Coturnix japonica: one gene and its partners. The protein of the gene in region 1 interacts with the protein of each later gene in a pairwise test. Links are inferred from orthologs where the notes say so. Each region holds a gene or a part of one and is shown in the gene's direction. Other genes may lie near its edges.

Region 1 (4,080 bases):
CAAGCTTAGGGTAAAACAAGCTTCTCTTTAACCCCAGCTCAGCAGCAGCTCGCACCACTACATCTGTGTTTATTCTTATGAAGCAAAACCAAGGCATTTCTCAATCCCATCCCTGTTAGCTCGGAACACCTGCCTGGGTAGATGCGCCATCATTATTAATTACAGACCAGTTAATAGGATTTGTGTGTTTAGGGAAACACATGCTCAGATTTTACAAGACCTTTCAGCACCTCATCTCAGATCTGGGGCAGCACTGACAGCACAGAGCTCTGTGACCAGGAGAAAGCAGCTTTAGAGCCAAAGCTGCAGCAGGAGGGCATTGAATGCATTAATACAACCTGCCAGCAACGAGTAACACAGATGATACATGGAAGGGATGGGGACTCAAGGTTTCTAGCCAAGCCTCCAACATGGGATTTCCCTGCCCTGGATTTCATACCCTTAAAGGTGATTCTCACCTCCACGGATATCCCGCGGGCGCTGGGGCCCATGGTGACGGTTCCCACCTTGACCAGGAAGTCGCAGTACTGGTACCGCGTGCCCCGGCTCTCGATCTTGTTTGCCTTGGCGTTCTGGAAGAATCCCTTCAGCTTCACCATCAACGTGTCGAAGTTGGCGTCCGCGATCAGGCAGGGCCCGTTTTCAAACAGAGCGAAGCAGCTGAGGGGATACTCGGAGTTGTGCATCACGTACATCAGTTTGCCCGTCTGCCCTGAAAGAAAAGCAGCGTTTGGCCCGTTCCTTTGACACCCACCCTTTAAACATTCGTATGGGTTGATAAGCGCCCCCAGCCCCTCTCAGCCTTCTCCTCTCCATGCTGACCAGCCCAGCAGATGCCCCATGTCCGCACTACACCCGCCCCCCCCGGGTTCCCACCTTGGCTGCTGATGGCGGCTGCCGTGTGATACGTCTCACAGTCCACCCCGAACGCTCCGTGTTTCTCGGCTCCCAGCAGCTCCAGCTTCTTGCTCAGCAGCTCCACGGTTTGCTGCACGCTCTTACCCTCCAACACGGGCACCTGCGTCACGCTGCGGGGCGACAAACAGCAAAAATGGCCGCGGGGCCTCCACAAAACCCAAACCCAAACCCAGCCCCAACCCCATCACCCCATCACCCCATCCATCACCCCATCCATCACCCCATCCATCACCCCATCCCCACCGGCCCCTCACCAGGTCACCCCCATGGCTCCGTCCCGGCAGTGGCGGTGCCGGTACCGGAAGGGGCGGGGCTGGCCGTGCTGGCGCCGGCGCGTCTGATCGCGTGTCGCTGTTGCGGCCATGCCGAAGGCGGCGCGTGTGGCGGAGCCGCTGCACGAGCAGATCCTGCGGGCTGCGGCCCCCACGGTGCGGAACCGGCGGGCGCGGGACGCGGGGCGCGATGCGGAGGAACGGGACGGCGGATACGTGGGGCCGCGGTTGTCCCGGCGCATCCTGCGGGAGGCCCGGAGGCAGCAGGAGGAGCTGGAGGCCGAGCACGGCCCCGGGGCGCCCGCACCGACAGCCCCGAGCGGGCGCGGGTCGGAGGAGGACGATGAGGACGAGGAGTGGCCGTCACTGCAGCGGGCGGCGGAGTGGGACGGGACGGGCGGCGGGGGGGACGTGCAGGTGGATCCCGAGGACGAGAAGGCCCTGGAGATGTTCATGAACCGCGCGGCGCCGCTCAGGTACCGGAGGAGGGGTGGGAATGGGCGGGGGGTGGACGGGGAGCTCCGGTTCCCCATCACCGACCCCTGCCGCCCCCCCAGGCGGACGCTGGCGGATGTGATCATGGAGAAGATCACGGAGAAGCAGACGGAGGTGCAGACGGCGCTGTCCGAGCTGTCGGGCCGCCCCATGCCCCAGCTCGACCCCCGCGTGATAGAGGTGTACAGAGGCGTCAGAGAGGTGAGGGCACTGCGGCCCCCCCGGCCCCACACACACCTTTGTGGGACCCCCCAGCTCCCGGCGGAGCAGTGCAGACAGCACTGCTGTGTCCCTCGGGTGTTGTGAGCACATACGTGCTGTGTGAGCACACGCAGTGGAGCTGCACAGGGAGCAGACAGGTTGCTTACAGCCTTGAGACAAACCCTTCCCCCTCTGCTTCCATTGAAGGTGCTGTCCAAATACAGGAGTGGGAAGCTCCCCAAGGCATTTAAAATCATTCCTGCCCTGTCCAACTGGGAGCAGATCCTCTACATCACGGAGCCCGAGACGTGGACGGCAGCAGCGATGTACCAGGCCACGAGGTGGGACCAGCTCAGTGTGCTCTGAGCTGTTGTTTTCTCCTTGTAATGGAACGAGATGGACAAAATACCATCGTGTGTCCTACAGCTGCTCCTCCTGCCCTGTGCCTGTGGAGCAGAGGGGATCCTGATGCTGGGGGTGGATGGCTCTGGAGTCACAGCTCACTCTTCATGCTTTGCATTTCACAGGATATTTTCATCCAACCTGAAGGAGAGGATGGCCCAGAGGTTCTACAACCTGGTGCTGCTGCCACGGGTCAGAGATGATATCGCTGAGTATAAGCGCCTCAACTTCCACCTCTACATGGCTTTGAAGAAGGCTCTGTTCAAGCCAGGAGCCTGGTTCAAAGGTAGGGGCTCCCTGCAGGGCTGCACTCCACCCCTGGGAACCTGCTGCAGGGCAGGGCAGGGGGAGGAAGGTGGAAAGGTGCCCATGATGCAGAGATGTTATTTCCTTGGGTTAAATGTGCCCTGAGAGAGCAGAGATTGAGCCTCACACCCCACAGCTCTGCCTGCTGCAATGACCAGTGGTGCCCAGCTCTTCTCTCCCCACAGGGATCCTCATCCCCCTGTGTGAATCGGGGACCTGCACACTGCGGGAGGCCATTATCATCGGCAGCATCCTCACCAAGTGCTCCATCCCTGTCCTGCACTCCAGGTAATGCACTGGGGCAGTCACTGCCCCTCAGCCCATCCAACAGCTCAGAGTGGGGGAGCTTTGCTCAGGGCTGATTCAAAGCCGTCCTTTTTGTGCCCTGCCCTCACCTGCTGCTCCCCTTGTCCCCACAGTGCAGCCATGCTGAAGATTGCTGAGATGCCATATAACGGTGCCAACAGTATCTTCCTGCGGCTGCTCATCGACAAGAAGTACGCGCTGCCGTTCCGTGTGGTGGATGCCCTGGTCTTCCATTTCTTGGCCTTCCGCACAGACCAGCGCACGCTGCCCGTGCTGTGGCACCAGAGCTTCCTGGCTCTTGCCCAGCGCTACAAGGAGGACCTGTCCTCGGAGCAGAAGGAAGCTCTGCTCGAGCTGCTCAAGTTCCACAGCCACCCACAGATCTCAGCCGAGATCCGCAGGGAGCTGGTGAACTCCAAGACACGGGACGTGGAGGGGCAGGAGCCGGCAGTGATGGAGTGAGGGGAGGAAGGAAGGAAGCACCACAGCCTGGCCTGGCTCCTGGGGGCTGCTGCACAGCTGGGAGCAGCACGTCCAGGGGTCTGGGAGCATCCAGCCCTGGGATCCCACTGCTCATGGTGCTGTAACCACGGGGCTGGGCTGGGCTCCCTGCGCTGCTTGTGTCAGGGCAGCCCTACAGCCCTGGCACCCAGGACAGCAGTAGGGCTTGTCCTGCTCCTGTTCTGGAAAATAAAGCCCGTGCTGGGTCCTTCCTGGAGCAGCTCTGACCTGCAGTTGCATCTTTGTGTGGCTGCATCCGTGCATCGTCCTGCCCTGTCCCCCTCCCCTCGTCCTGTCCCCAGCAGGGGGCAGAGCAAAGCCACCAACAGCGGCTCCTTGCAGCACTGCGCTGCAGCTGTCCCGGCTGCAAAAGGAGACCAGGGGCTGTGCAACTCCCTGCCCTCCTTGTGCTCTGGTCAGCAGCGAGCACGTTCCCAACTGTGCTGTGCATTAAGCAGCCTCTGTGATGTTGGGCAGAGGGGCTGGGGTTAAACATCTTCCTGTGAGAGGTGGGGGCAAGGGGCAAGGCCATAACCCACACGTGGCAGCTGCCTTGAAGTGCCACCTCTGCTGTAAAATCCAGCGGGGCATCGCACAAGGCTCCGCGCTTACCTGGGTGCTCACCTGGACACTACAGCTCCTGCAGATGTCCAGCTCCTGTCCTTGCTCCTGGAAGCAT
Region 2 (3,948 bases), on another chromosome or scaffold:
AAGACAAGTAAATTATCTAGATTTGAGGATTAAATCAAAAGTAAATTCCCCAATACCATGTCAAATTTAACCATATTTGATCATTGTTATGATATAGTAAAACATTATTGATTGTATCTTTTCCTTTCACTACATTTTGTGGTGGTATGCTGATTTGTAGACCTGTATAAATTGGGGAATTAAAGAAATACTGTGTTTTGGACAATTGTTTTAGCTGGTCTGATTTTAAACAAAACAAAAAGATACCGATTGGTTGTTTCAGTGGACTTTTGTGTGAGTAGGGCTGGGAAGGGTGTGGAGATGGAACAAGTTGTTGTTGGAATGGAATGGAATGGAATGGAATGGAATGGAATGGAATGGAATGGAATAGGTTTGGTTGGACTGGGCCTATAAAGAACATCATGTCCAACCGCTTTTACTCTGAATAAATCCTGGCAGTATTAATATGACCTGCTTCATAGACCCAACTTTACTTCAGACATGAGACTTCAAAGAACTTCTGTTTTGTGTGTCAGAGCTGAGGCTGGTTAGGGACAGGGCACTGCTCAGTGCTGAGCATTATGCAGTGAGCATTTCATGTAATTAAAAACCAAATGCATTTACTTGTATTTGAGCAGCGTGACTTGTCTGACATTGTGTATTGATACCTGTGAATGTAAATAACTGGAAAAGCTATGAATTAATTACGGCTTCTGTACTGTAGCATGTACCTATACACACACACACACAGATTTATTCTGATATTGTCATCAGAAAGAATAGAACGTGTATTATGTGGGTTTTTTTTCACAGAGGTGATATATTGTGCTTGTTCTATGGTGCATAAAGAAAAATATCATTGTGTGCTGCCTAATTGTACAGTACTGTAGGATACAGTGCACAGTTCCAAGTGCCTTAGACAAATGTTTGGCTGTTTCCATTATAGATACGTGTGAATGTGTATATAAATACATATAAATGGGGCAGGCGGGGCGCTGGGGACACCTAGCGACGTGTGGGGAGCCGGGATGGCTGTGAGGTACACACGGCAGCGCTCCGCCCCATCATGGCAGCTCGACACTGCGCGTGTGCCGTGCCCTATGGCCGCCATTGCTGGTGGGATGGACCATCTCCTCTGTGTAGGGGACGAAGTGGGAGATGCGTCCCGTGGGGTGGCGGAGAAATACCCTACGTGCGTTCTTAGAACCCGCCTCTCTATTTAAACGAAGTCCTATTGCAAGCAAGCTCGTTGGTGTTCTTACTAAAGAATAAAAGAGCCCTTTGGAACGACGGTCCCACTACATCCCCCTGCGGCCTGTGGTTGCTCCCCTCACGCACATCCCATCTGTCCCGTGTGGGGCCGGGCTGTGTGAGCGTGTGTGGAGGTGGCTGTGTCGGGGTTGTGTTTAGGCCATGGTGAGACGGTGGTCGCTGTGGGGTTGGGGGCGGGAGAGCCTCGGGTATGCGGGGTACGGCAGCGGAGCCCGAGCAGAGGGTTCTTTCTGGATGAGCTTAATCGTTCATTTCTTATTAATGATTCTTAAGCGTCCCTTTGCAGCCTCACAAGAAGAAGAAGCCCTTCATAGAGAAGAAGAAGGCGGTAACGTTTCACTTAGTGCACAGAAGCCAGAAGGACCCCCTCGCTGCTGATGATACGGCCCCGCAGAGGGTCCTGCTGCCTGCCCAGAGGGTAAGTGCCTGCTTGTCATAAGGGGTTTGCCCATGTGGCAGGAGCTACAGGGGGGGAAAGTGGCGTGCAGCTGGATGATTCATAGCAGAGAATGAAAGATGAAGGCATGTAGTCACACTTAGGCATTAGGAGGGAAATCTTTCCTCAGAGGCTGGTGAGACACTGGCACGGGCTGCCCAGAGAGGCTGTGGTGCCCCATTCCTTGAGGTGCTCAAGGCCAGGTTGAATGGGCCCTGGGCAGCTGAACTGGTGGGCTGGAAACCCTGCCCATGGCCAGTGAGTTGGGACTGGGTGATCTTTAAGATCTCTTTCAATTGAAGCCATTCTGTGAGCTTTTTTGTTGTTTTTTATGCTCCTTTTTATGAGTTTGGGTGTTGACAATGGAGACATTACTTCTATTTTTGCTGACTTTTAAGTGGACTTAAATAACTGCCTGTATTTTTTTCCTTACAATTTCAAGGGTCACGAGGAGCAGAGGAGGGAGGAGCAGCGGAAATATGGAGTCTTCTTTGATGATGACTATGACTACTTGCAGCATTTGAAAGAAGCATCTCGCCCCTCTGAGCTTGTCCCTTCTTTCCGTGGACAGCAAAGCAGAATTGTCATCACAAGTGAGGGGCACATAGAGGATGAAATTGAACGAATTGCTGTAAGTAGTATTTTTGCTGATAGAGAGGTAATTGCTGGTCAAACTTGTGGAATTTCATGACACTGGATCATGTTGGAATGGAAAATCCTTGAATAATTTCAAGCAGTTAAGTATGTAATTGCCCGTCAGTCACTTCTAACGTTTTGTTTGTTTGTTTTAGGCTCCATCTATTAAGTTGCCTTCCTCAGTATTTGCCACTGAATTTGAAGAGAATGTGGGCCTGCTAAATAAAGCAGCCCCTATTTCAGGTACCGTAAAGTCCTGTGCCTTTCTGTAACAGGTGTTGCCATGTAGGTAATACTCAGTAATTAGCAGCACTGTAAACAAAGCAGTAGTTGTTTTGTTTTGTTTAGAACAGACTCAAGAGCAGATAACAAGGATGATCTCTATCAGACCTGTGTTTCTGTTTGAGACCTCCTTCTATCAGTCAGTAGTAATTGCTTTTAAGCATTGCATAGAGGGAGGAAAAAAATCACAAGTTATTGCTATTATCTAGCACATAGAAACTAATAATAGGGGAAGGCTTCTTTCACTACTAACGATATTATGTAGGTAATGCTATTGATTTGACTCCATCGGTTGAATGCAAATGTGTAACTGGATTTTCATTCTCAGAATTCCTCTTTTCAGTTGCTGAGATACTTTTACTTTCCTTCATCAGCTTAATTTCAGTGTTAAAAGAGTGCTCTTTGTGTGCCTATGTTTGAACTGTACTAAAGATTCACTTTCAAGTTATCTAAGGTTGTTGTTTTTTGTAATAATACTTAAAGTTGATAGTCTTGATAGTGTTAAAACAGATTAAAATACATTTTTGTATGCCTAAGACATCTTGGGGGATGTTCTTTTCTGGATGAGGAAAACCAAGAGGCTGATGACTTACTAGTTAATTTGTATCAAATCTACAAACATTACCAGTGAAACTTGTGACTGCTAGTCAAATTGAATTGCTTTTTATCAAGGAAGGTGGCTTTGGGATGTCACGGCAACTTACATATGTAAGTTTTTTCCTCTCTCCAGGACCACGGCTGGATTTTGACCCTGATATTGTTGCTGCTCTTGATGATGATTTTGACTTTGATAATCCAGAAAATGTTCTGGACGATGATTTTGTTCTACAAGCAAACAAACAAAAGGAGGGGTATGTAAAGCTTTGGGGAACTGCTTGTGTCACAAATGAATACTAATGTTACTGTGTGTTATTTTGCATGTTGCTGTAGGAAGCAAGTTTCAGGCTTAGTATGTTTATGTCAAAGGTATGTGTTACGTGGGTGGTAGCTTAAAATAATAATAATCAAGTTTACAATAAATATCCAAGTCAAGAGATGGGTTTTGTTTGCTACCTTGACCCTACAAGTTAATATTCATCAACATCACTACTTGTGAAGCTTTTCTGAAGGTCTTGGAAATGCATATTGCCACGGTGCATGTTATTTTTTTCCTGTTTTGTAAAAATGCTATGAAAGATAAATAGCAGTGATCAGTTTTACAGCATTTACTATTCAAGAGTCTGGTGTTTTTCTACTTTGATAAGCACAGTAGAATGTGAACACATCCTTGCTGTCAGTGTGCAGGTGTGTGATCCACAGCTATCAGAATCATTTTCAGCTTTTAGGCAGTTGTGTCAGGGAAC
Region 3 (3,939 bases), on another chromosome or scaffold:
GGTCTAGAGGTCATCAGGAAGAGGATTTTGTCTCTTTTCTGTCTGAAGTTATAAGGGATACATCCGAAGGAACAAATGAAAGAAGGGAAAAAGAAAAAAAAAAAAAAAAAGATACACTTTATAGTTCAATGTACTGTTTTAAAACATCAGCTTTTCATCACTTGATCAAATCTTTTAACTCTTATTTCTTGTTTTGGTTTCATTCACCCTTTGTTCTACTTGCTCCTTCCTGTCTTTCGCTCCCTGTCCCTCTCTGCCTATGTTAGTGTTGCGGCTTGTTGAAGGAGGGCCATAATGAACAGGGGAATCTTGTGTGAGTAGTATAAAGGGAAATGAGCAGCATGATTTTCCCTACGGTTAACTGATTGCTTCTTGAAGACATCTGAGTTGATCTTGCAGAAGGGGTTTAGTGAGCAGTGGATGGGCAAGAGGAGTCAGGTACACCTCTGCTCTGCAGAGTGCGGTGTGTGCTTGTTCTGGGTAAGCACCCTATCCATTTATCTCTGTGTGGGTGGGTGTGTCTGTTAATGTATCACAATCACACCTCCCGGACTAAGACAGGTCTATCACCAGAAGCTCAGCTATTACATTGTCTAGAAAAGGAAGTAGGAAACAGTAAACAACCTTGGCTTGTACTGCTTCTTTTCTTTTTTTTCTTCCCCATTGACTGCAGTGTCGCAACTCTTTTTCATGTAACGTTTGATATATGGCAGCCTTTTCGCATAGAAAACTGATACAATTGGAATTAATTTAATGCTACCAGAATGTGCGTGCGTGTTACCTTTGTGAACCCTTGTGCTTTTCTTGGAGTCAAAAGTATAGGCTAAGGCAGGTGTCCTGCAAAAATATCAAGTGTTTAACGTAATAGTGACATAGCACTCACTGTTGCTATAGATGTAAGAAATGGAATAACTTCATAGGTGCTAAACTGCTGCAAGGAACCCACTCTCCCCTCTGGTGACACTGAAGTGCTACGCAAGCAAACTTCAGGCAGGCAGCCCCATTTGGTATTTGTGGAGTTAACAAAGTTAAGCTCTCTCCCGGCTAGCCTCTTCCACTAGGAATGCAATTAGTGTTCACCTATATAAGGAAACCTGCCAGGCGGCGGGGCTGGGGCTGGGGCTAACTCCGCGCCCAGAGAGCGGCACTGCGCGGGCTGGACAGGGCTCGGCGGCAGCAGCAATAGCAGCGGCAGAGGCAGCAACAGAAGCAGCAGAGCAGCCCAGCGCTGGGAAGGACTATCCCGTTTTCTTCAACTTCAAGACGAGGAGGAAAAGAGCAACAATGGAGTGGCAGGTATGTCGGCACGGAGCCCTGAGGCGGGAGGGTGGGAGAGAGGCTCGGGGGGTGCCTGCGAGACTTGTTCCCGCAACTGCTGTTCCCCCCCTGAAATGGCTTGCTGGATTTTAGAGAGGCTGCAAAGCAAAAGCGTGCTTCTTGTTTGCAGCAACATCTGTACGCACGATTACATTCACTTATCTGACGTTCTGTGCGCTTCTAATTCACGTACACCTTTTTACCGGGGTGATAATCAAACTTTCTTATCTCTGATGGAAATCAGATGTGTGACTGGAAATGAGGCTGAGATGCTTTGCTTAACTCTACGAACCTCTGCAAATGCGGAATTTTATGGTACTGTCACGTCTGGAGAGCAGTCCTTCACTTTGTAGCGTGAAACATGCCTTTTGTGAAAGGTGTGCTCCTTTAGCCCTTCCGGGATCTCAGTGTTCTTTATTGTGATGTGTGTGAATGCAGCCCAGTCAGCGTAGCTGGGATGCGTTTGCTGGAATACAGGGAGTTCCTGCAGTAATAAAGCTTTTTCAGTGAGTTAAAAAAACAAACTGCAGGTTCTGCTCTAAGAAATGTAAGCAAAACTTGTTCTTCTACTGTTAGAGATTACACCAATTCACAACAAGGATGTGTTGCCTGGGAAATATTTGCACATTCTGTTAACCTTCACAGGAGGTTCTGTGTAAAATCCTGACTGAGAGAGTGAAAAGAAGGGGAGGAAAAGTTTGTTCCGTGTAGATATTGGTGAAGACATAATAAAAAGTCAAGTTGAAAACTTACCTCAAACAGCTTTCTAGTTGGAAGAATGCTGCTATGCAGTCCTTCAGGATAGTTAGCCATTAGCATCAGCCAGCACGTGAGTTCTGTGGCAGCTCACTCAAGTTGTGTGCAGTTAGGGTATAAAAGATAGCAATGAAAGAATACTTTGAGTTATTTCTCTGAAAAGTGCCTTCTAAGGAGAAACCACACAGAACTATTCAGCAACAGGTGGAGTTTATTTTCAAAATGCTTTTGTTATCTTAGCAATTGGTAGACATAACAATGCTTTTCACTAATTTTCATTGTTAATCATATTTAAGTGGGCGTATGAGTGATAATGCACTAGTTATGGGAGTTTCAGCTCTATCTCTTCTGAGGACCAAAGTATGAAAGTAAAGTACAGTCTTACTACTAAGGGCTTAAAAGCTTAGAGTGAAGATTATTGTTATTTAAAAACTCATAAAGTTTTTACATTTTTCTGAATGAATGTCTACTTGGAGTCTGTAATGCGACATTACTAAGGAGGCATCAGGATTGTAATTCACCTGTGTTGATACATGTTCTCATTCACTTATATGCATGGCAATCCTATTGAGGAATCAGTGGGAATGACACACACCAGTAGTTTCAGTAGAGCATTTTATTGGAGCATCAACATGGCAAAGAAGGTATACACTAGACAGTGCTTCAGAACTGCAGCTAGTGAGTTGATTGTCATGAAACATCTTTGGTCTTGGTGGAAGGCAGTACAGCAAATACAGTACCAGTGGACCAGAACCATGCAGTTCCTTTGTATCACTTCTCATCCTTGTGATTTTCAGTTCATATCATACAATCACAGAATCATTTGAGTTTAAAGGGATCCTTAAAGGCCACCTAGTGCAACTCCCCTGCAATGAACAGGGACACCTACAGCTAGATCACGTTGCTCAGAGCCGAGTCCAACCTGACCTTGAGTGTCTCCATGGATGTGGCATTCACCACATCTCTGGGGAATATAACCTTTATTAATGTTAATTGAGTGGAAGCACAGAGGATAGATTTTAGTAGGGTCGTTAGTAATTGAAGTATGAATTTAAAGGGCAGGATAAGGCACTATATAAACTTACTCTTGAATCTCCTTTCCCCTAGCATATCTAGTAAATTACATTGTCCCCCTTCATTTGGCATCTAGCTGTGCTACAGTCATTCATGGTCTTTCGGCTTCCCAGTGCAAAATGAGATAGAACTCTGATTCAAAGCCTGCACAGAATCTTCTGGGCTGGCATGAGCTTACTCTAGCCCCGGGTCTGGGGTCTGGAGCTCAAGCCTTATAAGAAACAGCTAAGGGAGCTAGGAGTCTGAAGAAGAGGAGGGTCAGGGGAGACCTTATTGCTCTCTATAACTACTTGAAGGGAAGCTGTAGTGAGCTGGGTGACAGCCACTTCTCTTGTGTAACTAGTGATAGGACTAGAGGGAATGGCCTCAAGTTGTGCCGGGGGATATTCAGGCTGGATGTTAGGAAGTATTACTTTTCTAAGAGTGGTCAGGCACTGGAATGGACTGCCCAGGGAGGTGGTGGTGTCACCAATCTTGGAGGTGTTCAAGGAACATTTGGATGTTGAGTTGATGGACATGTCTTAGTGAGGACTATTGGTGATGGGTGGATGGCTGTACTGGACGATCTTGTAGGTCTTTTCTAACCTCAGTGATTCTGTGATCTGATCAGCAATCTGTGGCCATCCTGGGGCTGGTCCCAACTGCAGGCTTTTCCAGGGAGATGGGCGGCAGTGTGGGCACTCATGTTCTTTGCCATGAGGTTTCTTGTACCCTCCTCTGCCACCCAAAGCATATGTAATGGGGCAGCTGCAAAGCCTGTGCTATCACACCAGAACCTACCAAGAACTAGGA
Region 4 (3,500 bases), on another chromosome or scaffold:
GATCAGGCAATAAGCACAAGTGAGTATGAAAAAAATCCACCTCCTGACCTTCCAGCACTGTCCCAGTCCTTCCTTGGGCTGGGCTGTGCTGCTTTATTGTAATCCCCTCCCTGACATTGTCACATTCTGGAGGGGACAAGGGAGCTAATTTTAGGTCTCACTAATTCTTGGCAGAGCCTGCTGGGTGTTTACTGTCTCTTCCACAATTGGGGTTGGTATTTTTAAAGCAGCTTTGCTAAAAAACCCTTTGAGGCTGAGCACAACTGTAAGGCTACATAAGCCCTGTTCCTGCTTGAGCAGCTGTTAATGGTTTATCGGTGAGATGACATGTTGAACGCTCTTAAGCAGCTGCAAGCAGGTGGCTCACTTCTATTCCCAGGATGAAAGTGAGCTCTGGAGACATCCCAATATGTGATATTTGGGCCAAGCTTTATGTTTTCCTACCTGCACAGTTCCTCTGGGCCACATCTTTGGATGAAGATATAGGTCTGTGCAGAATCTCAGTTGAAAGTTGTAGTTGCTTCAGTTGAGCAAAACTTGCTTAATCCTGACTATAATGAAGCTTACTGCCAGCAGCCTCTTAGTGAGAAATAAAATAAGGCTAGAGCCCTGTTGCCCAAACATGCAGCTTCCATCTTGTGTGCAACTCTCTTGTCCCTGCTGTCTGACTAGTTCCTGTTATTGCTTTGTCATGTTTTAGAGGCATCAACAAAGCAGCCAGCAGATTTGCTGCAGTCCTAATGGGCCCTGGGGTAGCTGTGAGGTTCTCTGTAAAGGTGCAAACGTGGAGGTTTTTGTGTTTTCAGGAAATACTGCAAAGAGCTTGTGGAGCTGCAGCCCTTGCTGGACCCCCACAGCAGGACAACAGCTGCCTGACAGAAGAAGGTGAGTGACAGCTTCTCTCAAGGTCCTCAAACAAGTCAGGACTTTTTTGCTGTGGGGTAAGCATGCTTACATGAAGCCATTAGAGAGTGACGAGCTTGGAGCAACAGCAAGTGTGTTGAAATAAAACTGTGCCTCTCCTTTGGATGAAGGTTCACAGATGTCTTGGGGGTGGGTGTGTGGAAAAGAGAGAGATTGATTTAAGGTGAGTTACTTCTTCATTGCAAGAAGTTTTGTAGCGTTCAGGGTAGGGATTTTGACTTAGTGGTTCAGATTAGAATGAGAATAATGCAGCTGGTTTGGGTTGTGCCTTAAGATCAGGACATGTCATATTTGATGGAGTGAAGACAGGAGGCCTGGGGTATTTCTATTGTCTTGGGCTGCTGTTTAAGAATTAAGTAGGGAAGAAAGGTGTTTAAGAAGAGGTGGTGTGGTGGGGAGTGTAATCATTGTGGACTGGTCTAATCTTGCAGTCAGAGGGAGCAGCTGACATATGGTAACACTGCAGTAATCCAACTGTCCTTGCAATTGCAGCATCAGCAGCAGAACTGGAGAAGGATCTTGCTAATGCCAGAGAGGAACTGGAGCTAATGGCAAAGAAAGAAAGGGAGAGCAGAGTGAGTTTGTGCTGAAGCCTGTGGTGGTCTTCCTGCCTGCAGGGAACCCTTGGGCTGTCCCTTATAGAGATTTTGGACCCCCCCTCCCCAACATGAGTGTGCCTCAGTGAGAGATAGGGCAGCACAGTGGGGTTTTACCTTTCTGAAGTTTTTCATACTCTCCTCTTTTGTACCTAGCGGGAGCTTGCTGCTCTCCAGTCTGTTGTGACCACGCAGGAGGAAGAGCTGCAGGTGCAGGCTTCTGATATAGAGTCTCTGACCAGAACCATCCAGATCAAAGAGGACCTCATCAAGGTGAGGTAACATGCTTTGCTGGGTCAGCTTCTTCTGAGATGGCTGCAGAGGTGTCTCTTCTTTCCCCACATCCTGTCCTTCATGGTTACTCATTTCCAATGAATGACAAGACATCAGAAACCAAGCTGTAGGCTTGTTATGATTATCTATGACCAAGTATGTCTGCTAATGCAAGGAACCTCTTCAGAGTAACATGGCTGTTTGTGTATAGTTTTGCTTTTGGTTTGCCTACAGCCCTCCGATTTGGGCCAGAAGTTATGGGCCCCAAATCTTGAGAGTGTCATTATTAGACTTTTTGCTCCTTGCTTGCAACTTTCTTGAGCACTTTAAACAGATGTTGTGTTCCTTCCTAATTCTTGCTTCAAGCAGTTGATTATGGTTAATACACACTGGATACATTGGCATTTCTTTCTTAGGAGACCAGGGTCTTCTCTAACACTGGAAAAATGTTGGTAACTGCATTCCATGGAGGGTCACAAGGTTCCAGCTGTCCTTGTTATTGATCCCTTCTCCACAGATCCCTCCTGCCTCTTGCTTTTCAGGATCTGCAGATGCAGCTGGTAGATCCTGAAGAAATTCCAGCAGTGGAACGGCTGACACAAGAAGTGCTGGTACTTCGTGAGAAAGTGGCCGTAGCAGAGTCGAGAGGACAAGAGGCTACTGGAAACAGAAGGCAGCAGGTAGTGTGTCCTGCAGGGCAAGTTTGAATGTATTTGTGTTTTATCTGGTGCTCAGTTATAGCGCTTTATTCTCAGCTGTTGGATATGCTGAGGTGTGCATGTTCTTTAAAGCTGGCTGCATATAATATAGGGAAAGCAAAGGATTGGTTCCCTTTTTTGTCTCAAGGGTATAGACTTTTGGGGGATGGTGTCCAGGGTTGGCAGTACTTGATTGCTTCAATACAAGCAGGAGAGGTGTTGGTGCATCTGGTAGGGGAGACCACCATATCCCTGAGCAGCCAGTACCTTTGACTTATGTGTTACATCTTTTCTGTTCTCTCTGACCAGTTGTTACTGATGCTGGAAGGGCTGGTGGCTGAGAGAAATCGGCTAAATGAGGCTCTCCAGGCAGAGAGGCAGCTCTACAGCAGCCTGGTAAAGTTTCACACACACCCAGACAGGTAAGCAAAGCTGCTTTGGCTCCATGCTGCCCTGTTTTTTGCCGGGATTTGTGTGCGTGGGCCAGTGGGGCAACTCCTGAAGCAATGATTGTTTTAGGAGTCCAGATCTTAGGCTACCTCTTTTCCTTAAGGAGATTGCAGTGGCCAGCTTTAAATGATACATAACCTCCTCCCGTTGCTGTCTCTTGTTCAAGCCCTGAGGTTTCCATCCCCGTTCCTTGGCTTACTCAGTCCCTGCTCAGTTTCCCACACACATTTGGCCATATTTCAGAGGCTGCCGTTTTCACCCTGCCAAATTCCTCACCAACTGCTGGGTTGATAGAGATGTGTCTAGGCTCTTATCTAGGAGGCTGTCCCACAGTTGCATACCACTGCATTCTTTGTCCTCTGTGCTAATCCCCTGCCCTTCATGGGGCTGCAGCCTCTGGGATATTTGAGCTACCTGACTGCAAGAGAGCACGTACATGAAGTGCTTTGGTAAGTACTGAAGAACAGCTGTGACTAGGGGTCTCCTACCATGAGCTGGAGCCTTTTTTGGGGATGGCTGGGCTCTGGGGAGGCTGTGATGTGAGGCAAGAGGTGTCCAA
Region 5 (4,080 bases), on another chromosome or scaffold:
AGGCGTGTAATAATCACAGACTGACCCGGGTTGGAAGGGACCTCAAGGATCATGTAGTTCACCCCCCTGCCTAGCAGGGCCACCAAACACTACACATTTACTAGTATCAGGTTGCCAAGAGACCCCATAGGACCCATAGGACCCCATAGACCCCATAGAGACCCCATAGATCAGGTTGCCCATGGCCCCATCCAACCTGGCCTTGAAACACCTCCAAGGACGGGGCATCCACAACCTCCCTGGGCAGCCTGTTTCCAGGGCCTAACCACTCTCCTAGTGAATAACACAGTGCTGTGTCCTCAGCTACGTGTATTAACACTAAAGCAGCAGCTATTTCCACACCGAACCATTGGGGATGCTCCTATGGGACAGCCCCATGTGCTATGGGCCCAAACCCACTGCCTGCCCCTCACCCAACCCCCGAGGGTGATCCCAGCGCAGAGAACACCACCCAGCTCCCCCCATAGCCCCTAGTAGCCCCCCCATACATCCCAATAGCCTCCCATAGCCCCCAACAGCCTCCCATAGCCACCAGCAGCCCCCATAGCCCCCAGTAGCCTCCCATGGCCCCCCAGTAGCCTCCCATGGCCCCCAGTAGCCTCCATGGCCCCCAAATACATCCCAATAGCCTCCCATAGCCCCAATAGCCCTCCATAGCCTCCCATGCCCCCAATAGCCCCCAATAGCCCCCAATAGCCTCCAATAGCCCCCAATAGGCCCCAATAGCCTCCAATAGGCCCCAATAGCCTCCAGCAGCCCTCCACACACCCCAATAGCCTCCCATAGCCCCCAATAGCCTCCCATGGCCCCCCACAGCCCCCCATACACCCCAATAGCCCCCATAGACCCCAATAGCCCCCAAAGACCCCAATAGCCCCCAATAGACCCCAATAGCCTCCAACAGCCCCCCATGGCCCTATAGACCCCCCACGGCCCCCAATGGCCCCATAGCCCCCACTCACCAGCTTCATGCTGCCCGGCTCTATTTACAGGCACAATCCTGCCCCCCCACTTCCGGCTCGCTCCCCCTTCCCGCCGCAAAGCATCACGGGATTTGTAGTCCCCCCGTGATGACGTCATGCCGCCCCCCTCCATATCACCTTGCCGTCCCGTTGCATGCTGGGAGCCGTAGTCCGCGCTCCGCTTCGCCCCGCGCTCCCGTGGTGGCGCCGCGCCGCACGGCACGCTGGGAATTGTAGTCCGTGAGCCGCGGCGCTCCCCGTCACCCTGGGGAGGGGGGAACTACAAGTCCCAGGGTCTCACAGCTGCAGCAGGTGGGAGCTCGGATGTTGATATCAACATGGCGCTTGTCAGACAGACAAAGACAGTCGGTCTGGTGTGAGCGAGCCGGGAGGGGGGGGGGGGAGAAATAAAAACCACCACCACAAAAAAATAAAGCCCAACAGAGAGAAAAGGAGCCGAGGGGGCAGAGAGGGGAGGGGGGGGCTGTTATCCTCGGGGGGCTCCGGCAGCACAGCGCTATTGTTGTCCACGTTCATCTCCCCTCATTGCAGGGGGGGGGTCCCCGGCGGGGGCGGCCCGTTCAATGGTGAAGCGGAGGAACCGCCGGCACCGGGAGTGAGTGAGTGGGGGTGAGGGGGGGAACGGGGGCGGGCGGGTGGGTGGGCTGCCAGGAGGGAGGGTGGGAGGGAGGGTGGGTGGGAGGGGGAAGGGCCCCCCCGGCTGTGTCTGAGCCTGGGAGGGATTCGAGGCGTGAGGAGATCCGAGGGTGCGTGAGGAGGGGGACGGAAGGGTGCCCCCGGATAACAGGGAGATCGCTCTGCTGCTGCTGCTGCTGCTGCTTCGGCTTTTTATTCTGTTTTGTGTTTTCACCCCTTCATCCCCCCTCTTCACCCCCCCATCCACTCCCGGGTGTGGGGAGGACGAAGTCGCGGCGGCGGAGTCCCCTCAGGTTGGGTGGGTGCTGGTTCTTTCGTTTATTTCTTTATTCTTCTTTATTTTTCCGCTTGTTTCGGTGCTGGGACCGCGAACCCCGAGCGGAGCTGGGGGGGGCCCCCCTCCCTCATCCCTCTTTCCCCCTTCCCTCCCCATACCCCCCCCATATCTCTCAGCCCTTTATCCCCCTCTTTTCTCCTCATTCCTTTCCGGGATCCGACCCTTGAGGGAGCGATCACTCATTCCGGGGTGAACCCAACTGTTTTCCTACGGTTATGTGGGGGGGAAAAGGGCATTCCGCCTCCCCCCCCCGAGCTGTGCCGCTGCCGGGGCTTTGCGGGAGGGCGAAGGCGTCGAACCGAAGGGATTCGTTTGTGCGGGATGGGGTGAAGGAGCCGGCGACAAATCGGTCCTAAAACGTGTGAGGAGGGTTTGGGCGGGGTGTCAGCCGCTTGTTTATTCCCTACTTCACGGGGAGAGAAGCTGCGACGCTTCTCTGTCTGTGCCCGGGTTCGTTCGGGGGACCCTCATGCCCCCTTGAGAGCCCGGCATGGCAGGGGATGCTGCCCACCCACCCTGCCCCGCTTCTGGGCTGACCCTACCCGAGTTCGGTGCTGTTTATCAGCTCAGATCGCACATATGAAGCAGGTTGGGCTGAGTTCTTCCACCTCTGGTGGGTTTTTCAGTTGTTTTGCGAAGTACTTCTTTGGAATGTCGTGTTTTTTGTTGTGGTTTTTATTTTACCCTTTTCGGTGGGTCTGAAAAAAGCTGTGGGTGTTCGGTGATGTGCAGGGGTCAAAATGCTTCTTTGGGGGGGGTGGGGAGGGAAGAAGGAAGAGGAAAATCAAGGCTGTAAGCAGACAGCGGAGTGGGGTGTAGCTTAATTTGTTCTCATTGGGACTAGAGATAAGTGGCTTTAAGTACAGCACAGCACGTGAGCTGGAGCTGGGAAGGTTGAAACTTTGTAGGGAGGAAAGTGTTAACGTGACAGCCAGGGCTTGGCGGTGTGGGAGCGGATCTGCTGGATGCCCCTGATCCAACTATATAGGGATGGAGGGGAAGGAAACTGGGGGGGAAAACTACAATTTGCCTGTAAGACAGCACGTAAATACAGGGAAGGGGAAACTGGTGGGGAAAGGCTTGGTGCTGTAGTGCCTGCTTGCATCCCAGCTCATTGCTGCAGGGTTCATCAGGTACATTGCTTTCTTCCTGGGATGGTGTGGCTGCTATTTGATTTCTTCCCTGGATGGGAGAGGAGGAGTCCTGTGCAGTTCTTTTCCCCGAGCTGATTGCATTTGCTTTGGCCTTGCTGTACCCTACCTCATTAGTAGGAACTGCATCTATATTTATTTACCATTACATCGGGTCCCTCGGGATGCTGGGTGTAGTTTGGAGTAGGTATATATGGATTTATCGCTCTCAATATGTTTTTTTCCTCTTGTCATGCTACGGCCAAATCGTTTGAGAACAGGGAACGAACTTCATTTCTTTCTGTGTTTCGCATCAACCTTTTTGCCATTTCTCTTCCGAATCGTTAAGAAAACATTTCTGAGGCACAGGTGGGGGAGGAGAGATGGGAGATAGCAGTGCAGGGATGTGTTTGTTAGCTGCCTATTCTGAGACCTCTGAGTGGTGCTTGATGCTATATCAGCTAACGGGGGTTTGGGATTGTTTTTTCCCACCTATGTGAAGATTATTCCTTAGCCCCATGACCGCCACAACTTTTCTGTATGGTTGATGGGATTGTCTGACGAGCCTGGGCGTGAGATGAGGAACAAGGGAGGAACGGAGGAGGAACAAGGAACTTGTGTCTCGTTCAGCTCTGCCTCGTTCTTCCTCCTATCGTTCCTTCAGCACAGCGCAGGCACCCGAACAGCCATCAGCATTTTTACTCCTGTGTCATCCAACTCTGTTCAGAGCAGGTCTAGACGACATTGTGCTATGCAGACTGCCAGCTGTGTTACAGGAATGCTACCAGAGGTGAAACGGCAGGTTATTTAAAGAATGGTAAGGAAACCTTCAAGGAAATACTGCGTGGATGAGGCCTGCTTATCTCTAGAACTACTTTATTAAGCGGTCTTGAGCAATTCTTTTCTATTTTATTGACCTTTCTAGAAAACACGCATCCCTCCAGTGCTGCGATACGGTAATTCAACAGAACTAGGAGCAGTGTCTGCTGCACAA
Region 6 (4,277 bases), on another chromosome or scaffold:
CCGACAACACGTGCCACATCACGCTGGTCATCCACCCGCGCAAGGAGGACGACGAGAAGGAGCTGCAGACCGCCTCCATCTTCGGCTCTGCCAAGGTGGCTCCTCCTGGGCCTCAGGCGGGGACAGGGTGGGGACATTGGCACGTCGCCGTGACCCAAACTGTGCTGCAGTGGGGCTGGGTGTCCCCTGCCATCTGGTGGCACGCGGCTGATTGATGCTCATCAGCTGTGGGTGGGATGTGGCATGAGTTGCTCCGTGGGGTAGCAGGGAGGACGCTGGGTGTGGGGGTGCCCCGTGCCCTGCAGCACCCCCTGGAGATGTTCTCCTCCCCCAGGCCAGCCAGGAGGCCGACAACGTCCTCATCCTGCAGGACCGCAAGCTCACGACGGGTCCCGGGAAGCGCTACCTGCAGGTGTCCAAGAACCGCTTTGATGGCGATGTAGGCGTCTTCCCGCTGGAATTCAACAAGGCCTCGCTCACCTTCTCCTCCTACGGCAAAAGCAAGGCCAAGCTGAAGAAGGTGAAGGAGGAGAAGGCGCCTTCACCCAAGAAGGGTCCCAATGGAGGAGGTGTGGGTGGCTCTGGCAAGCCCTGAGTGTGGCAGGGACAACCTTGGTACTCGGGCACACCAGGTGCCGTGCGGCTGCGCTCCTCCTGAGCAGAGCACGATGCTGGGAGATGGGAGAGGAGTGGATGTGCAGGCTTTGGGGTCTCTGTACCCTGAGCAGGTCAATATAGGGTTGCTAAGTGGAGGCTGATGGCCCAGGTTTACCTCCCGCACGGTGTGGTGCTAGTGCAGCTCTGCCGGCTCTGAGCCCGGCCCCTCTGGCCACATGTACCACCAGCAGCAGTAGCAGCAATGCCTCAGGGACACAGCCCTGGGCGCCTCGGAGCCTCTCATGGCAAAACACTGTGTCTGAGCCAGTCCTCCCCAGCACAGGGGAGCCCGCCGTGGGCTTTTGGCCCATCCCTCTGTTTTCTTTACACTTTTATTAAAGCAGAGCTGTTCAAGCTGTTTGTCCTTCGCTGCATGAGCGTCCCCGTGCTCCCATCCCCCATCCCTCCAACTTTGGGTCCCATTCAGCCCCGTGTCCATGCTGTGCGTGGGGCAGGACGGCACAGCGGGGCCCCATGGCCCCACGCACACACACACCTCCCGCCCCAGCGCTGACCCAGCACCGGGCACCTCCCCGCCACCGCGCCCCACGGCTCCCACGCGTGGGGCCGGGAGGAGGCATTGGCCGCCGCGCCGGGAGCCGGGCCCATGGCGGAGGACGGGGATGTGGAGGTGAGCGGGACGCAGCCCCCCCCGTGCTGCCTGCGGGGCCGTGGTGCGGGCTGAGGCCCTGCCGCCCCCTGAGGGCCCTTCGCTGCCGTCGCTGCCCCGCGGCCCGGCCGTAGGGCAACCCCCTGCCGCCTCCCATCCGCCGCGGGGCCGGGGGCCGGGGGCGGCGGGGCGGGCGGGGCCTGGCGCGGGCCGGGCCGGCGGAGAGCGGCGGTGCGGAGCGGAGCGTGAGCGAGGGCGGCCGGGCCTGGGCCGGAACGGGCCGGTGGGACCCGCGGGGACACAGTGGGGCGCTACGGAGAGGAGGGACGGGGGGGGGCGGCCCTGACCCCGCTCTCTCTTCCTTTTCCCGGCTCAGGGGGCGGCGGAGTCGGGCCGGGACCCGCCGGACGGATGGGCCGCGGCCGGCCAGGTGAGAAGCGGGGCGACCCGCAACGGGAGAGGGGGCCCGGCGTCACCCCGGGGTGATGCTGGGGGCGGTGGAAGCGGGGGGCGGCCCCGGGGCGGTGCCAGCGCGGCGGGCGGAGCGCGGCGGCCCGAGCGCATCATGGGGCGGCCCGGCCCGGGTGGGTCCGGCTCGGCCCGGGGGGACGCGTCGGTGTGGAGCTCCAGGGCGGGGGGAGGGGGCGGAGTGGGGACCGTGAGCTGTGGGAGAGAGGGGTGTAGGGACGGGATTGGGGAGCGGGGTGATGTTGGTGCCGGGGTTGGGGGGGTTGGGGAGGAGGATGCTTCAGGATGAGGTGTTTGGGGCGTCTCTCTGAGGCTGGAGCTGAGGTATGGCAGTGTAGGCAGCGCTGTGGGGCAGAGCAGGGGTGCAGGACCGGGAGCAGTGGGGCAGAGAAGGCACCGTGACTGCTACGCAGTGGGGACCCTGCTGAGTGCATGGGGCTGCCCCTGTGGGGCTCTTCCTTTGGGCCCTGCACGGGAGCACTGGTGCTGCGTGAGCCCCCTGCATGCCCCGTGCCTCCCCCTGCTCCGGCTAATCCCAGCTTTATGCTGTTCTGCTCGACGCCTGCTCATGCCCGGCATATCTCTTGCAGCCATCCCACATCTGCCTGCGCCATTATGGGGGTCCTATATTCATTGGTGTCCTATGGGATGAGTGAGTGAGTTTATTGCTTAAGGCCTCACGTTGCCTTTCTTTTACAGGCTGCCTGCGCCCCCCTGCCCGCTGGGGGCCCCCCTGCCATGGCCATTGTGCAGACACTGCCAGTTTCCATCGAGGCCACGCCTGAGGCTGCTGCCCAGCTCCGCACTGCCACCCGCTCCCCCCTGCCCACCCACGGCACCATGGGCAGTGTGGGCAGCCTGATTGCCAGCCGACCATGCCACGATCGCTCCTGCCAGCCTGCTGGTGCTGGTGGTTCCTTCCGTGTGCAGGATACGCTGCTGCGAGCCAGCCCCCCGGATCCCCTGCTCCACACTTTGCCCCCCAAGAAGCCGTGCTCAGCCACTGCCCATGCCTACACCAATGAAGTTTTTCATGGGGAGTGGCTGGAGGCAGCCTCTCCCGTCAGCCCCTGCAGCGACTCAGACGAGGCACGGGATGAACAAGCCCCAAGTGGTGGCATCCGGGGGCCGCCCCCCAAGCTTGTCCCTGTCTCTGGCAAGCTAGAAGAGGTAAGGTGGAAGCAGTGCTGGGGGATCTGCTCAGCCCTGTGCTGCACTGGGGCTGCTGGGCTTGGGGAGACGTGCTGGTGCATGCATAGAGAGAGCACATGGTCCATGTCGCTGGGGGTGGTGGTGATCTCTGTGCTCCTGCTGCCCTCTTCCTCATGTCAGGAGTGGCCATGTGTGTGTGGGAGCCTGTCTGAAACTGCTGCATGGAGCAGAGGGCACCTAGTGGTCATCTTCTATAGAGCTGTGACACTCTGAGGTGTTGGGTGGGAGCAGAATTGGTGGGGTTACCAAGTCCTCCCTGGTGCTCTGGCAGCATCCCCAGCATCTGCCAGGCCACCTCTGGAGTGTACCTGGTCCCCAGATCCCACTCTCTCCTCTTTTGCCTTGCAGAATGTGGAGAAGACCCTGATCCGCCCTATGGCATTCAAACCGGTGGTACCCAAAGTCAGGGCTGCTCCGGGCCCGGCCAGCCAAGGGGTACGTCCAGGGGCTGCAGCATTATCAGAGAGCCAGGTGAGCCTCACCCACCTGCTGGGGACCACCGGGGCCGACAAGCCTGGCTCACTGAGCTGCCGCACCAGCAGCCACTCAGGCACGCTCTCAGACTCGGGACGCAACTCTCTGTCCAGCCTGCCCACCTACAGCACAGGCTGCAGCCAACATACTGAGCCTGGCAACCTCACAGCCACCCCTCACAGCCACCCTGAGCCCCCAGGTGGCTACCGCCCACCAGCCGGCCCCTCCAACTCGGACAGTGGGCGCTCATCCTCCAGCAAAAGCACGGGCTCGCTGAGTGGCCGGGGCCGGCCCTCCTCCGAGAGTGGCTCCTGCGGGCGCTCGCCGCTGCCTGGTGAGGAGGTTCTGCTGGTGCGTGAACTGGAGGACAAGCTGCGGGAGAGGGAGGCCGAGCTGCAGCAGCTGCGGGACAGCCTGGATGAGAATGAGGTGGCCATCTGCCAGGTAAGAACCATATAAGGGTAAGGAGAACCAGGGGAGCTCTCAGGGCTGGGGGTGCCCATATAGTCCTATTGTGTAGATTTGGGTTATGCATGCAGTGATGTGTCTGGGGAACCCCATGGAGATTGTAGATGCTGACTTGGGGAGACATGGAGGTGGTGTGGGATGTGGGATGTCCCATCTCAGCGTGTGCCTGTGCCCAGGTGTATGAAGAGAAGCAGCGTCGCTGTGAGCAGGAGCTGGAGGGTTTGCGGCAGCGCTGTGCGGCCCAGGTGCGACAGGCGGCCCAGCAGGCGCAGCGTGGGCAGCAGGTCCTGCAGCTCCAGGTGCTGCAGCTGCAGCAGGAGAAGAAGCAACTGCAGGAGGACTTTGCTCAGCTGCTGCAGGAGCGGGAGCTGCTGGAGCGTCGCTGCGC
Region 7 (4,299 bases), on another chromosome or scaffold:
TTGTTTGTTCTGATGACTTCTCTATGGATATACACTTATATAATCGTATTACAGTGAATGTTGAGCATATAGCAATTTCACCTTTCCGTCAACATAGACGACACGCTTTCCTGTAGTGGTCCCGTGCTCAAATTCAATTTTATGAACGCCATCACTTAAAGCTACTTCCCAAACAGCCACCAAATCTGTCATCTTCTCTATGTGGCCGTACCGAGACCTGTGGAAACACCAACAAAGTCAATTAATTGTCATAAGTTTACACAATTACTTGCACGTTCTTGCTTTTAAAATCATTCAAATATGACAAAACATCACAAAAGCAGGCAGGTAAGCAGGCTCGCTCTGACAAACACCATACAAAGATATATACCCATCCAAACTCCGGAGCTTCCAGTTCAGGGGGCAGTATAGTTTAAAACTGTACTTAGGATTCAGATGTTCCTTGCGGGTAAATTTAAGCAGGCTTTAAAATGCAGCATTTCATTTGCTCTCTGAGTAACCCCTTCAGCCTTCTGAACTTGAGAAGTAGTTGTAACAGATAAGCTCATCACCTACTGATTCTAGCAGAAATATTACCTACATCATTTGGGAATGCAACTCTGCACACACAAACACACACAGGGAAGGAGACTGGAAAAGATATCCTTCCATTTAGAACACGTTTAATGTTTGGTACAGCCATAAGTGACCACGGCAGTGGGGGATATCTTTCCAAAGGCCGTACGGGCTGCAGCTCTGCTGTTTTACCTTACTTCTTCTTCACTGAGGGTAACCTCCTCGCGGGATGCCATAGTAAACAAAGGGCTTTTAATCCAACCAGCAGCAAGAAAAGAAGAAAAGCAGGATAGCAGCTAGGAATGCTGAGAATGGATGGAGTTATGACTAACGGATTTGTTTGCTGTGACACAAACATCATTTTCCGGACACAAACTGGTTTTGTGTAAGAGCACGAATGACGAATGAAGAGCACGGCTGTCCTGTAACCACATCTCTCCCTTCAGCTGTGAGGGAACCACACACCCGCATTCCATGAGGCTCAGCACCAACACCAAAGCCACCAACCAGGACTCAAACCGCCTCCAACATCCACTCAGGCCCCTGAACTCGTCCTACAGCGAGTTTACAGCCACAGCCTTTATTTCTGCATTACTCCGCGACGTTCCCTCCCCCATCACTCACTGCCATCCTCACAACCCCTCACACCCACACCCCCCCCTCCTACCCGCCTGCCCCGCTCCGGCCGCGCGGGTCCCTCCTCCCCTCCGCCTCAAGATGGCGGCTGCCCGCCTCCCCGCGCTGACCGTTACCGCCCCACGGCTCAGAGCCCGCCCTCATCGCCCGTTCGGCCGCTTACTTTCCTTGCCTGCTCTTCCTTTCCCTTGGCGGCTCAATATGACGGAAGTATCGCGGTAGTGACACAAAAGGGCGCCGAAGCAAAGCAGAGCGTGTCCGGCTCTTCAGAAAGCACAAATTCGGCTCACTGCATCCATTTCCCCTTCTACCCGGAGCGTCAGCGTGCCTTTTGCATGCCTCAGGTTTCTGCCTCTTCCCAGCTTCAGCAGGAGGAAACGGAATGGGAGACCCTCAACACGCTGCTGTTACGCCATGGAATGGTGCCCATAAACACCCCAGGTAAGGAGTGCTGGTGGTGGAGGTCCTTGGGCAGCAGACATGAAGTCATGAGGTGCTGCTGAAGCCATCGGTTCCATACAGTAACGGTGATGCCATCTTCAAGTACCAAAAGCTTTTGGTTAAGGCGTTGTTTTATGATGTGTGCTTCCAGATGTGATTGCTTTGGACAGTCAGGCCTCTCTGGGAATAAGACTTGCATTAAAAACGTTATTGGAAGACACCGACCGACAACAGAAGATGATGTACGGGCTTATGGAGACTAATCGTAATCTTAGGTAAGGTGCTGTGAAGGGAATTTGCAGGTAGTGCAAAGCAAAAAGCACTATTGCTGCCCGTTTTCTGTCACATCCAAAGCCAGAGACCTTTTTCTTGAGACTTTTGTGCTATATGCAGCAATATTGGCCCAGATCTCCTTGAGCTGTTGTCTGAACTGCATCTGCTCTTGCTTCCCATAGTGGCATATTTCCTGTGCCTGCTGCTGCAGGCTGTTACTGGGCACCATCGGATAATATTTGCCAGGCCTGTGCTTCTTGCAGTGCATTTAGTGAAATGAGTTTAATTTAAATCAAAGATTTGTGTTTCTAGAGATGAGGTACGACAGGAACGAGGTCGGGCATCTCGACAAGAGGAAAGGGCTAATGAATTGGAAAACGTGGTGGAAAGCATTAAGGCAAAAATCCGTCAGCTGGAAGATGAGACAATAGCTAAAGTTTGCCGGCAACAGAATCAGGTCAAAGAACTTCATAAAGAACAGATGGATTCACAGGTAAGTCAGTCTGCAGCACTCAAACTTTTGACTTCTTTTGAAAGCTCACATTGGTCCAAATAAATACAAGTCTCATGTCAAACTTCATATGCTATTTGTAGCTGATTTTATGTTTTACAAATAATTTTCTAGTAATAAATTGGAAAAAATATATGAACCCTTCTTCCACTGGCTGTTTGATTAAGCTTTCTTGGGACCAAGCACCAAGTGTGGGTTGGTGGAGCACCATCTCCAGCCTGTGAGTTCAGTTCAGAATGCTCCTGTTATCTCTTCACAGGCAAAATACCAACAGCAGCAGGAAAAGCTGCAAGAACAGGAGGAGATTATTGCCCGTTTGCAGAGGGAGCTGTGCAAAGCTGGGCTGGAGGAGCAGCAGCGTGTTGCCACTCAAACCGAAATGTTCTGCCGGTTTTGCAAGAGAGCTCCCAAGTCCCTTCTAGATCAGCAGTAAGGAATTTTGTTATATTGGTGAATGACTTGTAACATTAAATGAATAAATGGATTTTAAAGTGACGGTTCTTGATACTTACATGGGAAAAAAAAAACAAGTTGGAGATGTTAGTGCAAGCTGAATGAATGCATGGCAGAAGGTAAAAATTCTCGGCCTCTGTATCCACTAGGTGTCAGCAAAGAGGGCGGAATGGCTTATTCTGGAAACTGCATCTGCTACAGTGATTTTGTTCTGGGACTTGTAACGTTTAGAATGTAAATTTAAATAACAAAGCAAAAAAGCAACAACAACAAAGACAGCTCGGGAAAACAGCTTTTGTGACTGCTGACTGCAAGCAAACTCCAGGCACTTTGTGCATGTTCTGAAAGCCTACATGTCCTGCAGTAACTCTGTTTTTCAGCTATAGTCAGAGACAGCTGACAGCTTCTAGGCCTCAGGTGGCTGTTGCCTTACTGTGCTGGTGTGGCCTGGTCCATCCAGGTCTGCCTAGGATGTTTACCTAGGAGAAATTTTAGAGGGATTGTGTGCCTCTCTCTGTTTCTTATGCCCTCATTAAACAACAAAAAAAGAAGCTCTGAGATTCGTTCCCTGACATTTCTCACCTGTACATACAAAACAGAAAATCTCAGAGTGGTTCAAAAGGAAATGCTGTTTCTCACCTATACGTTTTTCTATGGCTTTATTTCCTTGCAGCCATTTCCTTAGAAAGCACTTGTAGTTTCTCTGGAAGTTCTTAGGCTGTGTGTGACCTGTTCTGTTATATCACCTCCAATGGTCCGTGCAGCCCTACAGCTTAAGACTGTGACAGCTTGTTAAGCTTGCTGGGTGAACATAGCCATGAGATGTAAGGGCTGTCAGGAGGATTTAGCTTTTGTCTCCTCTTGAGTCATTTTGCCACTTGTAATCTAATAGGCATTTAATGTCTCTATATTTCTTTTTTTGGAAAACTGCGACTGATATAAGGGAGAAACAGTCACTTTTAAAATACAGTGTAGCTGTGTAAGCTATCCTGTTCCAATAGATTGGTAACTATATCTTAAGTTCAAAATACCATTTTTCCTTTTTCAGGTTTCTTTGTCTAATCGATTATTATGAATCTCAAATTAATCAAATGAAAAAGGAGCTACGGTGAGTCTCATCTAATGCCTTGTGGTCCTACTGCTAAAAGTTTTCTTTCTCCTTGTTGTTCTTAAAGCTTGGAATGGCAAATGTTCTATTTTCTAGATGTCACTAAAACATAAGAAACAGCCAAACACTGTAATAGTCTTGGAAGTTTGGATTAATCCTGGAAATTTCTCTCAGTCTGAGCAGCTGCGCAGTCAGGCCATACAGCCAGGAGGGCATTGTATTTAGACACATGAGCTATAATCCTTTGTTTGTTTTTCGGCTTTCCCTTTTGTAGAGGTTTACAGGCAGCACTACTGCATTAGCTATGCACAATTCACCCGTT

What was found.
Region 2: the proteins of BYSL (region 1) and LTV1 interact in binary tests that used the Homo sapiens proteins (3 or more experiments, as listed by UniProt). The two-hybrid records come from large-scale screens. The link is inferred for Coturnix japonica from reciprocal best matches to the Homo sapiens genes BYSL and LTV1.
Region 3: the proteins of BYSL (region 1) and MID1 interact in binary tests that used the Homo sapiens proteins (3 or more experiments, as listed by UniProt). The two-hybrid records come from large-scale screens. The link is inferred for Coturnix japonica from reciprocal best matches to the Homo sapiens genes BYSL and MID1.
Region 4: the proteins of BYSL (region 1) and myomegalin-like interact in binary tests that used the Homo sapiens proteins (3 or more experiments, as listed by UniProt). The two-hybrid records come from large-scale screens. The link is inferred for Coturnix japonica from reciprocal best matches to the Homo sapiens genes BYSL and PDE4DIP.
Region 5: the proteins of BYSL (region 1) and HMBOX1 interact in binary tests that used the Homo sapiens proteins (3 or more experiments, as listed by UniProt). The two-hybrid records come from large-scale screens. The link is inferred for Coturnix japonica from reciprocal best matches to the Homo sapiens genes BYSL and HMBOX1.
Region 6: the proteins of BYSL (region 1) and LZTS2 interact in binary tests that used the Homo sapiens proteins (3 or more experiments, as listed by UniProt). The two-hybrid records come from large-scale screens. The link is inferred for Coturnix japonica from reciprocal best matches to the Homo sapiens genes BYSL and LZTS2.
Region 7: the proteins of BYSL (region 1) and CEP70 interact in binary tests that used the Homo sapiens proteins (3 or more experiments, as listed by UniProt). The link is inferred for Coturnix japonica from reciprocal best matches to the Homo sapiens genes BYSL and CEP70.

What each region holds. Positions count from the first base shown.
Region 1 is NC_029541.1:4,735,776-4,739,855, forward strand, and holds BYSL (bystin), read left to right. Parts: upstream 1-1,280; coding exon 1,281-1,666; intron 1,667-1,747; coding exon 1,748-1,886; intron 1,887-2,093; coding exon 2,094-2,227; intron 2,228-2,413; coding exon 2,414-2,574; intron 2,575-2,779; coding exon 2,780-2,882; intron 2,883-3,013; coding exon 3,014-3,362; 3' UTR 3,363-3,628; downstream 3,629-4,080. Other genes in the region: MED20 (mediator of RNA polymerase II transcription subunit 20), read right to left, coding at 459-712, 877-1,028, 1,173-1,282. UniProt on the Homo sapiens protein: Required for processing of 20S pre-rRNA precursor and biogenesis of 40S ribosomal subunits. May be required for trophinin-dependent regulation of cell adhesion during implantation of human embryos.
Region 2 is NC_029518.1:47,266,620-47,270,567, reverse strand, and holds the start of LTV1 (protein LTV1 homolog), read left to right. Parts: upstream 1-1,148; 5' UTR 1,149-1,392; coding exon 1,393-1,395; intron 1,396-1,537; coding exon 1,538-1,669; intron 1,670-2,129; coding exon 2,130-2,318; intron 2,319-2,478; coding exon 2,479-2,566; intron 2,567-3,335; coding exon 3,336-3,456; intron 3,457-3,948. UniProt on the Homo sapiens protein: Essential for ribosome biogenesis.
Region 3 is NC_029516.1:112,129,357-112,133,295, forward strand, and holds the start of MID1 (E3 ubiquitin-protein ligase Midline-1), read left to right. Parts: upstream 1-1,139; 5' UTR 1,140-1,296; intron 1,297-3,939. UniProt on the Homo sapiens protein: Has E3 ubiquitin ligase activity towards IGBP1, promoting its monoubiquitination, which results in deprotection of the catalytic subunit of protein phosphatase PP2A, and its subsequent degradation by polyubiquitination.
Region 4 is NC_029523.1:4,150,917-4,154,416, forward strand, and holds part of myomegalin-like, read left to right. Parts: intron 1-806; coding exon 807-885; intron 886-1,416; coding exon 1,417-1,499; intron 1,500-1,676; coding exon 1,677-1,793; intron 1,794-2,335; coding exon 2,336-2,473; intron 2,474-2,800; coding exon 2,801-2,913; intron 2,914-3,500. UniProt on the Homo sapiens protein: Functions as an anchor sequestering components of the cAMP-dependent pathway to Golgi and/or centrosomes.
Region 5 is NC_029518.1:96,819,285-96,823,364, forward strand, and holds the start of HMBOX1 (homeobox-containing protein 1), read left to right. Parts: upstream 1-1,280; 5' UTR 1,281-1,582; intron 1,583-1,709; exon of another isoform or gene 1,710-1,729; intron 1,730-1,749; exon of another isoform or gene 1,750-1,917; intron 1,918-3,271; exon of another isoform or gene 3,272-3,903; intron 3,904-4,080. Other genes in the region: INTS9 (integrator complex subunit 9), read right to left, coding at 963-971. UniProt on the Homo sapiens protein: Binds directly to 5'-TTAGGG-3' repeats in telomeric DNA. Associates with the telomerase complex at sites of active telomere processing and positively regulates telomere elongation.
Region 6 is NC_029521.1:20,199,742-20,204,018, reverse strand, and holds the start of LZTS2 (leucine zipper putative tumor suppressor 2), read left to right. Parts: upstream 1-1,477; 5' UTR 1,478-1,697; intron 1,698-1,786; exon of another isoform or gene 1,787-1,879; intron 1,880-2,434; 5' UTR 2,435-2,473; coding exon 2,474-2,905; intron 2,906-3,295; coding exon 3,296-3,865; intron 3,866-4,065; coding exon 4,066-4,277. Other genes in the region: TWNK (twinkle protein, mitochondrial), read left to right, coding at 1-95, 335-595. UniProt on the Homo sapiens protein: Negative regulator of katanin-mediated microtubule severing and release from the centrosome. Required for central spindle formation and the completion of cytokinesis.
Region 7 is NC_029522.1:18,786,337-18,790,635, reverse strand, and holds the start of CEP70 (centrosomal protein of 70 kDa), read left to right. Parts: upstream 1-1,499; 5' UTR 1,500-1,526; coding exon 1,527-1,632; intron 1,633-1,783; coding exon 1,784-1,907; intron 1,908-2,217; coding exon 2,218-2,398; intron 2,399-2,675; coding exon 2,676-2,845; intron 2,846-3,917; coding exon 3,918-3,977; intron 3,978-4,299. Other genes in the region: FAIM (fas apoptotic inhibitory molecule 1), read right to left, coding at 82-217, 748-791.